Linked DNA regions of Coturnix japonica. The protein of the gene in region 1 interacts with the protein of each later gene in a pairwise test. Links are inferred from orthologs where the notes say so. Each region holds a gene or a part of one and is shown on either strand. Other genes may lie near its edges.

Region 1 (2,219 bases):
AGCCATAAACTTCAATGGAGTCACTCGGACCACTGAGGATGCTCGCAGCACCCAACAAGTGGCTCACAGGGAAGGTGGGGTACCTGCTCTCCATCTCCTGGTGCTTGTGGTTGGCCAGCAGGAGGTCCTCGTTGAAGCTGCTGTTGGGTGAGTGCCGTGGTGAGTGGCTGATGAGGGTGGTGTCCCGCTGGGCAGCAGCAGTGGCGGCAGCATCCATGGCAAACTGCCTCATGGTGCATTCCTCCAGGTACTTCTGCTCCCACTTGGTCATGTCAGCTTCCAGGGCCAAGATCTTCTCCTCCTTCTCCCTCAGCTGCTCAGACAGTCTATGGGCACTCAGCTCGGGCGTCCCTCCACCTGTGGTTCCCACTTGCCTCTGCAGCAGCCAAGAAATGACCCAGAGAGAAGGTGAGGAGATGCTGGGATGCAGATCACTGGCCCCTCCCACCTCACAGTCCCCAGGATGTCCTTTACCTGCTGAGCCCGCAGCATCTTCAGCTCCTGCTCCAGCCGGGTGCGCAGCCGCAGCTCCAGCTGCTCCCGCTTCTCACAGGCAGCCTGGAGCTGACCCAGGGCTGCCTGCAGCCGCTCCACCTTCTCCACATACGCCCGCTTCTTCCGCAGCTCGGCCTCTGCCTTGGCTGCCCGTGCCTGGGCACTGCCCAGCGCCTGTTCCAGCAGCTCTGCCCGCCGGCGCTGGTCCTCGTTGGCGCTGCGCAGCAGCGAGGCTTCCCGCTCCAGCTTCTCCTTCTCCTGTTGGTGCTCATAGCCTGCAAAAGAACATCTGTCTAAGACTCGGAGACACAGTGCAGGGGGGTTAAAAGGCCCACGGAGCCCCCCGGCCAAAAAAAGAGGCTGTGCCCACAGGTCTCCACTCAGCTGTGTGGTGTCAGCAGCCCTCAGCCAGCACATGAGGTGCACTGGGGCCAAGGGCAACCCTGCAGCACACATTTCAGAGCATGGCCGTGCCCTGATGGACATGACACCACCATGGACACTTGCTGCCATAGAAAGCCTCATTTTGGCAAATTCCAGCCAAAAATGTGGCCTGAGATGAGAAAATCCATCCTAGGTTACACCTAGCTGTTGATGTAAGGACTGTGACACGATTCCTCCCCCACGATACCAACGCCAGCTCTCTGATGAAATAGCATTTAGGAAAAATAAAGAGCTATGGATCTTGCCGTATTTCTCCCCCAAGAAAAGAAATTCCAGCTTGCACAGGAGAGAAGCACGGAAGGGCTGGGCAAGCACAGCGAGGGAGTGCGGACTTTGTGCTGGAAGAGCCTGCACACGGCAGCAGGAATGTGGAGAATGCAGGTCACCCCGCCGGCCGGCCGGGATTAATGGCTTGCATCCAGCGCCCGGAGCAGCACAGCCATCCCTGGGGAAGGGCAAAAAGCTCCTCTCTACCCCCCCCCCACCTCTTCATCCAACATAAAGGCTTCTGCACTGAGTCCCTGCTGTGGCAAATCAGGCAAAGCCGAACCCCTGGGGACTTACTCTGCGCTAGGAGCTTTGCCACCGTGCCCTGGTTGCTCTCCTGGTTCTCCTGGGTCTTGCTGGCCAGCTGCTTGTTGGCCGATTCCAAGCGTTCTGGTGCAAAAACACAAATAAAAGAAATGAGATTTAAAAAGGCTGTTTTGGACAGATGAATCCGCCTACCCCCTCCCACCTGTGAAAACACTCCGACTAATAAAACTGCTAAAAAGAAGAATACTGGGGAAAGGCTGATGGACAGAGAGGGCCTGCAGGAATAGGGGAGAGGAAGGGTCTGGAACTGGGAACTGGGGCACGGGAGCCACCCAATGGAGCTGTGGACCACAGCTACTCTCACCTTTCAGGTCTCGGTTGAAGTCCTGCAGCCGCCGCATCTCCCCATCTCTTTTGGCCCTCATGGCTTTCTCCAGTGCCTCCCTCTTGGAGGATGCCTTCATGAGGTTTTCGTAATCCTCTGAGATGCGCTGGATCTCCGTTTCCAGCTGGAGAGGAGGAAGTGATGGGCGGGGGTGAGATATTCGTGGAATGAGGAAAAGAAAGGCAGATGCTGGTGAAACACTGCCCAGGCTCAGGACCCGTCCTGCACTGCCAACAGGGCTCCGCAAACCCACAGAGGATGGGCAGGAGCCGCAGAGTGAGAAACCCCCACAACAACACAGGTCTGGGGGCAAAAACCCTTTTTCTTTTGCTTTCAGCCCTGTGGGCACAGAGGGAGCTCT
Region 2 (4,234 bases), on another chromosome or scaffold:
GCACCAGGGGCCCCTAAACCACGTCAGGAAGGCCCACAGACAGCAGCACTCACCACCACTGCCACGCTGAACTCCTTGGCCAACGTCTTCAGCTCCCGTGCAAGCTGCATCATGATGGCCAAGCCTGGAGGCAGAGCAGGCATTGGGGGGCTCAACACAAACAGAGGGAGCAGCCCCCAGAGGTACAAACACAGAATCACTCATGTCAGCACACCTCTAAGAATATGAAGTCCAACCATTGACCCACCCCCACCAACCCATTGGTGACGCTGGACTTGTGTGAGCCTTAGATACGGTGCTCATAAGCACCTTCACACCAATTCCACCACATTGCCATCAACCCCCCACCCCACAGAGCAGCTCAGGGCTCACCCTCCGACTGCCGGCCGCCCGGCAGCGGGGACAGCACGGCTGACACTGAATCAATGAGCACTGCCTTGAGCGGCCCAGCCGAGCTCTCCACCTGCAGAACAAAATCAACCATGCAATAATGAGCAATGTTTTTTGGAGGTGTTAAAGCTGCACTGAGGTTTGGATATCCCTGGGATGGGGTGATGCTCATCAAGGAGAAGGACTTGGAGGCCTTACCTGCTGGGATAGGCAGTCCCGCACCTCATGCAGGGCACGCAGCATCTCGTAGATGTCGAACACACGGACCACCTGCACCCGCTGCAGGGCCTCAAGCTGTGACACAGAGCAGTGTCACCCTGTGATGTGCACTGCATGCACTGCACGCCCACATCCCTCCTGCCCACACTATGGAGCCAGGGACCTTCATTTCTCCTGCATCTACCCCCACCCCATGAACACCACTGTCCCCCAGCTGTGGCAGCAGCACAGGATCAGTGGGTGAGGGACCACACCAGACTCCCCCATTCTCATTAGCACCCAGTCTCAGTAGGAATGGACCCAGCACAGCCCATGAGGACATAGGTGGGCTGATGCCCACACGAGCAGGAAAAACACAGAACTCACCTGCTCTTCCTTGTCCTCCACCCGGGCCTGGAGCATCTGGTAGAGGCGGGAGGCAGTGAACCCCCCCGTGGAGTCAAGGAAGAAGACGTGCTGCCTGAGGCCAAGGGACACGCTGGCCGTGATGCTGAGGCACACCTGGAGCAGCATGGATCAGGCATCAGCTGCCCACTCGTGGCACAGTAAGAGCCCTTGGTGTCCCCAGCCCCAGGCCAGGTCACCCCCTGCTCCACTCACCTGTGTCTTCCCACTGCCTGGTGCTCCTGCCAGCTCCGTCACCTCCCCGGTGTACAGCCCTGCATCCAGCAGCTGGTCCAAGCTGTTGGGTGAGCACAAGGCAGGATGCTCAATGTGCATCGCATGGAAAGGGGACAGTGCTCCCACATACCAGCCCTTACCATCCACTTCCCAAAGGCAGAAGCCTTGGGCTCTGCTCCCACCCTCCTACCCTAACTCTCTCTACACCATGGGCTGCAGCAGCTCTGCAGTATAAGAGCACTATGCTGAGATGGGAAAGAGCCCGGGAGCCAGGTTTGAATATCTGGGGTTTCTCTGCAACCCCACTGTAACAAGCCAACAAGGAGACTGAGGGAAGAGAAATAAGCCTGGGCAACAAAGGGCAACTGATCTCCTTGCCCAGCCTTGGGAACTCATCACTCCAAACCTTCCCAGATCCATAATCTTCTTTACAAGGGAAAGACTGAGGGCAGCACATTCTCTAGTCTAGAACTGAGACATACAGTCAGTTCTAAGACATGTGCAGGCTCTTGCAAGGACAACAACAGCGGTGTCACCCCTCAAGGGACAGAGACCAGCTGACTTTACAGCCACATGACATGAAAAGTCACCTCTGCTCTCAATGGGCACAGCCAGGCTGGGGTTGGTGACAAGAGCTGGAGACAAATGGGACAACGCTGAGTGCACTGGGAGCATCACCATGTTACAGCTCACTGGGCACCCACCTGGGGTTGCCGGTCGGCAGGATGGCAGTGGAGCTCTTGAGCTCCTCGTAGAGATCTGCTCCGTTGGTGGGGAAAGCTGAGAACTGGGCCAGCAGCACCCTGCGCACAGCCACCAGCGCCTGTTGGACAGTTTATAGAGGGACTAAGAAAACCCACGGCCACCAATGTGCCCTGCAGAAGGGCCCCCAGCAAAGCCCATCCAAGCAGGGAGCTGAGCAGCTGTGAGTGCCCGGTTTAGGGAGGATTCAGGGATAACCCAGTACCTTGTAAGACAGGGAACAGTTCTGGGCAACGTCCTCTAGGTCCGATGACACAAAGTCCACCACTATGAATGACACAGAAACAAGAAGCTGGATGCTGACCACAAGCACAGCAGATGGGGAATACACGGCTGGAATGTGCAGTGATACCCCAAAGGGGCAGGAGCCAACATCCCCCACCAAGTTACCCGTCCTGATGTTGTTTGCCTTGAGAACTTGGATCATCTCTTCAGTGAGACCAGGGCACAGCCCGGCCCGCAGGACCACCATGGCACCGTGGGACAGGGAGCTGCAGGGATGGAAGCAGAGAGACCTGTTGGGAGATGGGATGGGCACCCACGGGGTACCACGGTGTACCGTGGGGACATACATCCCGCAGCACCCCCATCCAACCATGCCTTTAGTGCCACCCAAAGCACACACGTAACCATCACTGTGCCCACGGAGCGAGCCCTCCCCAGCAGCCCCACGCGTATCCCGCACCTACGGGTGGCCGAAGGGTCCCCAAAGTGCCACCGGTACCGAACCTCATCCCATAGCAACCCCCTTCCTGCTTCCTGCGGGCTGCGGAAGGGCTGCCGGGCTCCGCACCCCCCCTAGCGGTCTGCTCACCCCTAAGGATGCCTCCAAAAAACGTGACACTGCTTCTGGATAGGAAGGAAATCACAGCTGGGAGCTGGTCTGTGTCTGTAGGGGATGCTATGCACCAGCCTGGTCTAAATGGCCATCAGTGCAGTTGTCAGCAATGCTCCAGCGTCTATAAATGTTGGAATTAAAGGTGTAGGATGGGATAGGGTACTGTACGGTACAGTAGATGTTCTTCAGTAATCACAGATCTATAGCATAGCTCAGGGTGGGAAAGACCTTCAAGGTCATATAGTCCAACCACAACCTGACCACACTACTCTAACTCTAACAACCCACTAAACCTAAGCTGAAGCAATGCAGGAAAGGAGGTTCTGGTGCTTTCCCTCCACGGCTGTTCTGGAAGGTGCTGGCAGCTGTCAGACAGAGCCACTTGTCCCTGTGCAGCTGTCTCATGCCTCCCTAAATAGAAAGGGACAAGGCTCTGAGCACTAGGACGGGGGTCAACCATGTGAACTGATTTGTGTATGGCACACAGCCCTCCCATTCCCACTCCATTCCCCATGCAGCTCTGCAGGTCATGGATAACAGCGATCCATGCAGTGAGTGGGAGAGCAGCATCCCCTCTTTGTGCCCAGAGCTGTGTGCCTTTACACAGTGTCTCCCCCCACACTGGGTGGCGGTGGCCCCCAGCCCCATATAGCACAGGGTACAGGCAGTGCTGACAGGTGACAGTGACACGCAGCAGGAGCTGCCAGCTCTTGCCCAAACTTGGAGTGGGAGGTGAGCTCTTCCCTGAGCCGTCTGGACTCTCTGAGCTCTTTTCTGTTATTTTACCTCTATTCATTGGTCACTACGGATCTGTAGCTGTGTGGGTTTACAGCTGAGAAGCCACAGCCTTGAGGAGCAGTTTGGCTGAGCACTTCAACCTGGTAAGGTGCTTTTGTTCAGGGTTATTCGGCAGGCAGACCAAAACAGAAGGGGCACAAATTTCATGTTTTTCCTTAAAACTCCCCAGCAGCCTAAAATGTGTGTTGTTGTTTTTTTTCTCCCCTCTGCTCCCCAGATGGAGGATCCCATCCAGCTGAAGGAGGAAGGCAACAAATATTTTCAAGCCAGCGACTATGAGAGAGCAGCTCAGAGCTACACACAGGCCATGAAGCTCAACAAGGACAGGGCACTGCAGGCTGTGCTGTACCGCAACCGGGCTGCGTGCTACCTGAAAAAGGTGAGGAGAGCTCTGGGTTCTGTCCCCATAGGGCTGAGCATGCTGGTTTGGCTCAGCAGTGGTCCCAACCCCAAAGAGCTGCAGGCTTTTCCATTGCTGCCTGTTGTCTGACCCATACCAGACTTCTCCTTGTTTCCTTCCTTTACCAATGAGATGGTACCCAAAGCTCCTTTCTTGCCCTCCATAGGCTTCTACAGCTTTCACCAGGGTGCCCTATTAATGGGAAC

The links. The genes of interacting proteins can lie anywhere in the genome.
Region 2: the proteins of AMOTL2 (region 1) and RAD51D interact in binary tests that used the Homo sapiens proteins (3 or more experiments, as listed by UniProt). The two-hybrid records come from large-scale screens. The link is inferred for Coturnix japonica from reciprocal best matches to the Homo sapiens genes AMOTL2 and RAD51D.

The regions. Positions count from the first base shown.
Region 1 is NC_029524.1:3,381,917-3,384,135, reverse strand, and holds part of AMOTL2 (angiomotin-like protein 2), read right to left. Parts: intron 1,983-2,219; coding exon 1,838-1,982; intron 1,597-1,837; coding exon 1,504-1,596; intron 771-1,503; coding exon 475-770; intron 377-474; coding exon 84-376; intron 1-83. UniProt on the Homo sapiens protein: Regulates the translocation of phosphorylated SRC to peripheral cell-matrix adhesion sites. Required for proper architecture of actin filaments.
Region 2 is NC_029534.1:3,364,944-3,369,177, reverse strand, and holds the start of RAD51D (DNA repair protein RAD51 homolog 4), read right to left. Parts: upstream 2,801-4,234; 5' UTR 2,678-2,800; intron 2,484-2,677; 5' UTR 2,465-2,483; coding exon 2,383-2,464; intron 2,260-2,382; coding exon 2,198-2,259; intron 2,054-2,197; coding exon 1,935-2,053; intron 1,292-1,934; coding exon 1,210-1,291; intron 1,111-1,209; coding exon 976-1,110; intron 685-975; coding exon 589-684; intron 464-588; coding exon 373-463; intron 125-372; coding exon 54-124; intron 1-53. Other genes in the region: UNC45B (protein unc-45 homolog B), read left to right, coding at 3,846-4,007. UniProt on the Homo sapiens protein: Involved in the homologous recombination repair (HRR) pathway of double-stranded DNA breaks arising during DNA replication or induced by DNA-damaging agents. Bind to single-stranded DNA (ssDNA) and has DNA-dependent ATPase activity.